Drosophila melanogaster: one gene and its partner. The protein of the gene in region 2 interacts with the protein of the main gene of each other region in a pairwise test. Each region holds a gene or a part of one and is shown on either strand. Other genes may lie near its edges.

Region 1 (5,464 bases), on a different chromosome or scaffold from region 2:
AGCATATTAAACCAAAATGAACAAAAAACGAAGAAAACAAACAAAAATGAACTAAAACATGATTTTAAACAAAAATGAAATTAAATAATGGCATATTAAGTTAAGCTAATGGTACATAAGTTTAAAAAACAAACGGCAAGAAACGCTCTAGAGCAACAAAAAAACGAGATGAACCGAAAACCAAGACAAACAAATATATATATATATATATATATATATAAATATATATATAAAATAAAAATTATAATGAAATAACTGAGAAATAAATAAATTAATTCATAATGATAAATAAACCAATATGAACATTGTTCAAAAACATACGCTAATTGTTTTTTTACTGGTCTTCTTTTATACGGAAAGTTTTAAAAATGTAAAGGGTCAAGATTAAGACGGTAAGTTATGAAAAAACTTAAGGAATATTATATACCATATGGGATTAGTCGGAAAAATTATTTAAACTAATAGAAAATAAATTATTTTTTTCTGCAAGGGTACATTAACTTTGACTTGCCGATGCTAGCTTCATTTCTTGTTTTCTTTTGCAAAACTAAACCACGACTTCGTAATACAAACAACAACCATTTTATTTAACAAGATATTTACAGGACATCAAAGAGGGCAGTAAACACAAATCCACTCAGGATATCGAGGAGTATGCTATCGTAATAGGGGATTAGCTCCACTCAGCTGGACTTCTTGAGCTTCTGGGCCTGCTGCCGTTGGTCCCACCACGTGGCATACCACTTTGCGCTCCGCTCGGCACTCGCATCCGGATCGAAGAGTGGCATGTAGTCCATGTGGATGGAGGCCCTTAGACGATTGTACATCAGCATCGAGGACGTGTAGGAGGCGATGGCGCGCAGTGAGTACCGCAGACGGTACTTGGTGTATGGATAGGCCACCCGCACTACCACCTCCAGCAAGAAGGCCAGAAAGAAGAACAGGAAGTGCGGCACATACCACCAGCTGGTCTTCACCTTAAACCGCTCGCCCAGCACGGCCATCTTCTGGACAAAACGAGAGACATCATTGATGCCCGTATCATCGGTGACAAAGACGGGCAGTCCATTCACCGCCTTATCGGACACCTTGAGGGCCTTATAGGCGCAGATGTGACCCCAGGCCACATTCCCGGCGTAGACCAACTGCTGCTTTCCGCCCACGCCCGCGATCCTTGGGAACACCCATCCCCTAGTCGAAAGGAAGTCGAAAATCTCCGTGATGAAGTGCGAGTCACACTCGCCATAGGTCAAAGGGGCACGCATGGCGCTGGTGGCCAGATATTCTGCAGAGGATTACAAATGTTAATATATTTAAATGTCTTTAAATAAGTCAATGCTAAGTAATCGGCCAAACTTACCCTTCTGGTTATGCAGTGGCGCTCCATTCGAGTTGAGCACTATGTTCTCTGCCCTAAGCTTGCTCGAGGCGTATCCGGGTATCAGGAACTGATTATCCTGCTCCCACAAAGTGGAACTGTCCAGCGTGGGAGTGTCTGTCTTGGATTCCGTCGAGTTAATCACCGCCGAGAAGGTACTCCGACCCTTGAAGGGCACAAAACAGACGGATGTGCAGCTTGTGTACACCAGGCGCTTCACATTGTTTTGAATGCAGAGGTCTACTACGGCCAGGGTGCCTAACAAAGCGAAGAAATAAACTCGAAATTAAGATCAAATCAATGTTTATTCCAAGCCCAGTTTAGTTGCCTGGAATTACCTATCTTACGAGGTACTTTATTCGCTCACTCACCGTTCACATTTACGCGCTCCAGTTCCTCGTAGTTCGGCGGATACTCGATTTTCACCGAGGCGGCGCAGTGGAAGACCCCGTCCACTCCGTTGAAGATGGGACTGAGTGCCTTCAGATCGCCACCGATATCGGCCACATAGGTGCGCAGCAGGGAGGTCTCCTCGTGGCCAATGTTGTTTTTGTAGGGCACTATATCCAGTGAGCGGATCTCTTTGATGCCCAGCTCCTCCTTCCGCTCCAGCAATTGCTTGATGAGGTGCTGACCCAAAAAGCCACTGCCGCCGGTTACGAGCAGCACTTCCCCGCTTTTGTTGCCCATTGCGTCCAGGGTCAAAGTACACTGGTTTTTGGTTTAACTGCAACGAGACCGACTGCAGGTTAGCTGGGCTGGCTTAAGTGGTTAAGTGGAGTTTCCGTGAGAGTGGCTTTTATGGTCGGCGGCCCCACTTGGACCAGCCCGGCCACTTGGACATCACACACATAAACTGGCTCATCACCAGCCGGCGACCTTCTTCGAGGGTCAGCGGAGCAGGTTTCCAAGTGACTCGGCGGTTTTTCAAATGCTCGGCTTACGTGACGCTCCGCGGCGCTAATAAAGGCGGCCACTTTTATATTACCTATATGTTTACTTATAGTTATAGTTAGTTTGTGTAATCCAAATTCCCATGATTACTTCAATTATTTGCTTTTTATAGTCTGTGTAATATAAACTGGCTTTCACCTTATCAAAATGGGTTTTAACTACTATTTATTTGCATAAATGTAAATATGAGTAACCAACTTACTAGTTTGTATCTTATAGTATATAGAGCTACATATATTCCTTGATTACAGCAAATACTTTTTATTAATTTAAAATAAAATCTGAAAATAACTTTCAAAGCTGTAATTAAGTAACAATTATTTCTTAATGGCCTAGAGCTTAGTAAAAATAAATAAACTTACTAATTAAATCATTATTTTCGGTTACCTTCTAATGCAACGCGACCTTAATTCTGTTCGTATTAATGGCATTCGCACTTTTAAAGTGCCAAAAATGACTGTTAACTTTATAATTTATAATATAAGCAAAGTTTGAATGCTGTTCGCACATTTAGACGGATATATTGAAGATATAGTGAGCAGCTAGTTTCCGTTGTAGAGGAAATCTGATGAAAATTCGTATATAAATCATTGTCGCTCTATAGCTTTCGATTTCTACTTCCCCTTAGTGTGTTACTTGGCCACGGTCAACTTTTGTTTTGAATGAATTTATTAGACCCCGTCCAGTAACTAAGGCCGTTGAGCAGACTCAAAAAGACATTAAAAATAATAAGATACTAATGGTGACAGCAGCAACATCTGCAACAGCCACATTTGCAGCAGCAACATGGCCATCGGCCAAAGCAACAGCAACTTACAAGATACAATATACGGCAGCAATCTCAACAAAGGGAAACATGGCTCAATGTGCTAATGTTTTCGCTGGGCGGTCTTACAGATTACAACACAGCATCAAAACAATTACCGCGAACTGGTTTCCGCGTCTATTTCGACATGCACGTCAACACACACGATTTTTTTTTGGCATTTTGGCCTGGCCATTTTAAACTTGTAAACACTCGACCAATAAATGGCACCTGTCTATCTAGAAGCCCGAAAGTCGTAATATCTATATCGTTCGATGCTTACCAGGAAAATTTGGCACTTTTTTGTGAGCAAACCTTTGGGCTTGCCTGCTGACTGGAAACTGTTTGTTGGTCATAAACAAAAGTGGCCGAAACCGAAACGATCGTTGTCGAGCCACTTGGCTATCACTTATCGTTATCGTCATCGTCCGCGCTGCTATCGATCGCAGTCGTCGAGCATTTGGCGCGCGCAATTGAAAGTTCGTTTTTCAAAATGCATGGCATTTGGTAAAAGGTAATTTTTATTCAACAACAAGTAAATGAATGTGGACAGTAAGTACGCTTAGTGATTACATAAATAGTTGTCTTCTCTTCCCATGCATTTAGTGGGGTGCTTAGGCAATTGCAATATTCAATAAGTACAGTGGTAATTGTTTTCGTTGCATCTCATTCAATAACTTTCTATATCTTTATAAACTCCCTGGTAGATGTATAAAGTAAACGAGAAGTAAAGGCCGTTGATACAAATGACTTTGGATTAGATTAGGATTGGGCGCTCTTAACCATTAACCATTAACGAGTACGCGAAATACAATTACGGATATACAATTACGAATACGAATACAAAACGGTGTTTAGTTTAGTACAATTAAAAATTCTGTTCACATTTCGGTTTGGTTTATTACAACAATATCATGTAAATGCCGATGTAGATGCCCCTTCCGTGTGCACCTAAGTATGTATGTATATAGGGGGCTGTGTTAGGGGGTATAAACGTTGTAAGTACCGACTTTAAGTACCGATTGACTGCTGACTTGGTGGATTTTGTTGCATCGTAGCAAACATAAATAAGGGCCATGGTATTACATTACATTAAATTACATGTACGAATAAACTATAATTATCTAGCAATTTCATTTTGTTACACATACAAACACAATTGGTTTTCACAAACGTTCTCTGTTCTCAATTCTCAGCCTAATGCTATTTAGATGCATTTTGATGCATAATTGGAGTGACGTGAAGCGATGAACTCAGGTTCTGCGTAGTCGTAATTTAACATGAATGTTGATTGTGTACATTAAACTAGTTGTATGCATGTATGTATGTATATAACTTTCTATACACTACTGTATATAGCAGTATAGTGTTTTAAAGTATTGTATTGTATAGTATAGTATATAGTATAGTATGCATGGGTATTATGGGTGTGCCGTTTCCAGTAGCAACATTTCAACTAACATTATTTACTTCGCTATTACAAGTACGGTTCTTTATTAGCTATTATTGTTGTTATTGTTTCTGTCGCCGATCCACCAGTGCCATCGATCAAGGGTTTCCATACCCGGCTTCCATTTCCCGGCGCATTCCCGTCTCAGTAGGAAAGTGCCGAGGGCGAACGCGAGCCAACTGTGAAATCTTTGTACACCGAAAACACAGATATCTGCGAAAGAGTAGAAATATTGAATTAAAAATACACCCACAATTCATTCGAGGACCCAGCGCATCGGAACCCGTTCCCTCACATTGGCCATACTCGTGCCAATCCCCATATTGGCCACTTTAATTGCCGACTTGCGTCACAGTCAAGAACTGCAGCGTGGCCCTGGCACTTGGCCAGCAACCAAATAAAACTTGGCGGCATCTTGTGGGTGCGGAAAAATGGGACAGCATCCGTGGCTCTTCGCACATGTGCTCCGCCGTTGGGAATCGCTGTGATATCAGTTCAAGAGCAGACGCCTTATCAGTGCCGGCTAGTTCCGAAAATAGCTTACTTTTGGGTGGGTGTGTTTCGTGTGGATATAATCGTTTGGGTGCTTAGTAATTGCTGAAGACTTCAGCTATTCTGGCCTATGAATTATAGAACCATTTCGATCTGCTCAGTCGAAATATCGTGCCTATTACATTTCTCTAGGTTATACCGAGCGAAAAAATGATTTATGATCAATAAAATCGTATTGAATTAATACTATATAGATTTAGCCAAGCACACACCATTAAAGTTCCAGAACAACTTAATCTCATCATGCTAAAGAAAGCCCTGACATAACTGCGAATTTATTTGAAAACACGCCTTTTCTTTCAGTGTAGACAACAAAGATACATTT
Region 2 (4,556 bases):
GAAATTCTCTTCTTTTCATTTAATTTTTTTTTTCTTTTTGTTTTAACCTTTTTTGCAACATTAACTAACCCGGCGATGTTCGTTTAAGCCGGAATGCAAATTGACTTGTTTCCGTTGCTAGCCGCTAGCCATCCTTTTCTCCGCCTCTCGTGGCGTCTCTTTTTTTTCGCCATTTGCCATCTCTGTCTATTACTTCCTTGCGCCATCTATTATGTAGATGGCATAAAACAAAGAATGAGCCATCTCCTTCGTCTGGTTTCGTTCGTGGTTTTGATTTTCCTTTTCTCACCCACACACACTGCGTACTACTTCTACTTGTTTCCTTTTCTCTATTCATCCTTTCTACGCACTCTTCGTGCTTTTCCTTTTGGACCGATTCCGTTTTAACTTTTTTCTCCTCTTTTTCCGCGCCAGCATTTGGCTTAAGTTTTGCAATTTTGAGCTAATGCCTGCGACTACGAAGCCGCTTTTCCCACATTTCTCTACCCTTGCCCTCAAGTTTTGCTTCAGTTTTTATCGTTTAGTTGGTGCTTCTTTAAGCACTGAGAGAAATTTTAAAATGCAACCGATATATATATATGTATTGATATAGAAAAGATTGCATATTTTTTTGAATTTTATATACAAGGTGCGGGTTCTTATTTTTGTGATCTTAGCTACTGAGCCTTACTTTGAATTCCGTTTCACAACGAAAACCATATATGGAGCTTATATATATGAATGGAGTATTTTAGTTTTCTGTGCACTCCAGTACACACCTCTGTTTGATTTTTCCAGAGAATGCAGGGAAGAGTGCTAGATTTATGCATTGCCATGGTGGCTTCGTTGGCTTCCCAGATACTGCTCCTTTTGTTTCCCTTCAATGCAATTTAAATCCACGCACCCGGCAACGAATGGAATGGAATTGAAACGGAACTGAATGGACGGACGGATTGGCCTATATTGAGATTTATTGTCTCATCGCTCTAATTACAATAAGGCAGTGCCTACCACTGTGCGTCGCAATGTCGCCATTCTTATTCCATTCTCAATTTCGAAGCCCACTCCTGAGCCCCGTGGCGAATGCCAAGGAATTCCATTTAAATTACTTTTTAATGTCCTGCTCACACACACACACACATAGACACAAGCAAAACCTACGCACACACAGACGTGCTAGCAAATCCTGTAGGAAGACTGAAAAATGGTTTGAAAATGCATTTAATTGAGGTTGTCCTTTTTTTTTCGAAACTCCTGCAAAGAAATACTTGAATGGCCGAAGGGCCATTGTTTGACTCTTGCTTGTTGCCTACCAATAAGTTTATATGTTTCCATACTTATTCAATCAATAGTGATTACCTTGATGCAGAGGCATGTTTGGCTAAAAATATATATTTCATGCCCGAAAGCCATTCAAAATCAGCTAAAAAACCAATTGCCATAGTTTAGGTTTAACTTTGAGAGAGAAATTTGGCATACCGTTTTCATTAAATAACTTTAACTGGAATTTAGCTGTTGGCACAAGAGATTTTTCGCCTGACTTAATCAACGTAATCACTTAATCATAATTAATGATAATGACAAATACATTCGATATATGTATTTAGGCCAGTAATCTTGGCATCGCTTTCGATCGAGTTACCATTGGGTACATTTATGTCAGTGCTCTTGGCTTGGTTTTTGATCCAGTCGACATAGGGATAGCAATCATGCCAGTCACACATACACACACTGACTAGCCAATATCAAAGACCGAAATTAAGCAGACATATTTTCTATTCGGAAGTACAAAAAAAAAACATAAAAAACATGTCATCTAGATTCAAGTCGAGAATTCCGGAACGCGTTAGACACTCGCTAACGGTACTGGATGGTCCAAACTCGCGGATATCCCGCATCCGTGATGCCGCGCTACCAAATCGCTGCTCGCTGAACCGCTCCCATTTGCCGATGCCAATAAGCAATACGCTGAGCGCTCTGGTGAAGCCAGTATCGCCGAAAGTTGTATTTAAGAAAACGCTAACGGATGAGGAAGCGGTAATCCGCTCGCTGGTGCGACGTTCAAAACCGCTGGCAGTTCGTGGCAATCGTACATCCTTTCGCCGCATTCAATTGGCTCACGCTGCGCCAATTGACGATTCTTCCGTGCTGTTGAAAGCCACCAATAGCTTTTGCAGCACCAATTTTCAGCTGCAAAAGCCCATAAAGGAGGCAAGTCCGGGTGCCACAGAGAAGGATCGTGCCGCTAACAAAGTGAGGTCCGCAAAAAGTCTGCTGGATCTGGTGGCCGGAAGAAGGCAACCGGGTATGGAACAAATACGTTTCCTTTGCAGCGATCATCGCCTGATCAATGTGCCCAGTCCCTTGATGTATCGCCATTCGGAGGTGATGAGCCGTTTGGAAGGGGAGGTGCAGCCAATTCCGTTGCGGTCCATTCGATCGGCGACACTGCTACGTGTGATTATGTGGATGCACAAGAAGACTCTATGCGCAAACGGAACTGAAAAAATCGCCGCGCCGACACCAACAGTTGAGACGTGCATTTGCGAAATAGGCAAAGGAAACGGATATACGAAAAGCGAGGCCAGCTGTCAAATCAGTGAGAACACTCAAGGTAATGCTCAACAAACGGTAAATTTAACATGTCAGATCCTCGGCGAAAAAATCGAAAATGATTGCACAAAAATACTTAAGAATGTAGAATTTGATTATGACCATACACCGATTAGAAATGATAATATCGAGAATAGTTGTGAAAACAATGATGAAAGTGTTAATGACGAGGCAGGTGTTATAAGCAATCAAACAAGCGACTCAATGGAAAGTTTCGAAAATAACTTGCAAAATCAAGAAAATTTTATGGTCGAATGTTCTACAGATATCAAATGTAATGATTACAAACAAAACGAAAATCAAAAAGACGAGAACTGCACAATTATAGATGAAAATAATGGAAAGTTAGTGTTATATAATCCAAACATTCAATTAATTCAAAATAACGAAAACACAAACAAAAGTAGTAGAGATTGCAAGAATGATACAATTAATGAATTCACAAAAGTAAATGGTAACTATCAAGATTACATTCAAATTACCGAAATTGGCAATAATAATATCACAGGTGTAAATACTGGCGAAGATGAACGTGAAATCGGTTGCTTAAAAAGCACGGATAAAATCGTAATTCATGCCAATGTGATGCAAAATTTTTGTAAACGAAATATATGGAAATGCAATGGGATTAGAAGGTGTACAGGCGAGGATGCCAACGATGATCAATGCGTTGCTAACTTAAATGAAATGAAGCGTTCCTCATTTCTTCTTTGCTCATGGGAAGAGCGATTGTTGGGCAGCGAACTGTACCAGCTGGTGGAAATTATCCTGGCGTCTCATTATTTGGGCATCGAGTCGCTGACACTGAACGCCATTCATCATTTCTGTGAACTAATGGCTCAAAGGACTCGCTCGGAATGCTGCCTAATGCTAGGGATCAAGACACGATTGGCTAGTGAGCGCCAAACTTTGGATAACCACTGTCCGTTGATCAGGGACTCACTGTCGCGAAATAATCAAGCAGATAGGACCGAAAATATGAAGCAGCAATTTGAATCCAGAATCTTCAGGAAACCACAACCGAACGGAAAGGCAGCTGTAGGAGGTGGAATGGGAGATGGACTTTATGCCAAAAAGCCTCGCAGTCGCAACCATTAGTACGGTTTCCAATCAAGAACAATGAACTCAAAACTTTTAGATTGTATACGCAATATACTTTTGTACTTTTATTGTTTTTCTTTTATCAATTCTCATTTAGTGTGGTTTATATGGTTGTATGCCTTTTTTTTTTGCTTAGTCACCCATGCGCTTGTCCCATTTATTTTCCACCTTCATTTTGATGATTTATTTAATTGCGAAATAACAACGAGACCTTCAGTTTCATATTGCTTAGAAGACACACGTCAGAGTCGATTAATCCACTGGCAGGTGGCAAACGCAAACTTTTTGCTTGACCAAAGCCGCAATAACGAAAACATTCTGATTAAATATTGCACTGAAAAATATACACATAGCTCACTACTTAATAATATTTTTAATACTTTTAAAATAGCAGATTGGCAGTATAAAATATGTTTTGTTCGATTTTTCTATGCTCTATTATTATTATTTTTTTTTGTAAACGAAATTAAAAGAAATTCATCTCTAATGCATTAATGCACATTTTAGGAGAAACTAGCATAAATACAGAAAAAATATTGTTTCAATGGGCGATTTGCGATTTGTTCTCAGTGCACCTGTGGCATAATTAACTCGCCAAGAAATGGGTGGCCACTGGATCGAGTGGGTGGTGAGTGATGTGGACTATCTCTACAGGCGATGTGCGGCAATTAAGCGATAAAATATGCAACAAGCCAATTATGCGCACATTAAATGGCCACGACCAGCGCTTTTCCACCGTTTTCCCTCACATCAATGGGTCGAAGTTCAGGTAGTGCCGCATTTGTTTTACCAACAACACGTTCTCCACAAATTTCACCACAATTTCTACAGTTTTTTTTTTTTTGGTCGGTTCCTCCATCTCC

The links.
Region 1: the proteins of CG4661 (region 2) and CG7724 interact in a two-hybrid assay, tested with the Drosophila melanogaster proteins (one large-scale study listed by BioGRID).

What each region holds. Positions count from the first base shown.
Region 1 is NT_037436.4:17,053,634-17,059,097, reverse strand, and holds CG7724 (uncharacterized protein), read right to left. Parts: upstream 3,486-5,464; 5' UTR 3,421-3,485; intron 2,106-3,420; 5' UTR 2,069-2,105; coding exon 1,750-2,068; intron 1,637-1,749; coding exon 1,361-1,636; intron 1,286-1,360; coding exon 684-1,285; 3' UTR 565-683; downstream 1-564. Other genes in the region: rogdi, read right to left, coding at 4,732-4,800.
Region 2 is NC_004354.4:12,854,892-12,859,447, reverse strand, and holds CG4661 (uncharacterized protein), read left to right. Parts: upstream 1-1,725; 5' UTR 1,726-1,788; coding exon 1,789-3,690; 3' UTR 3,691-3,760; downstream 3,761-4,556.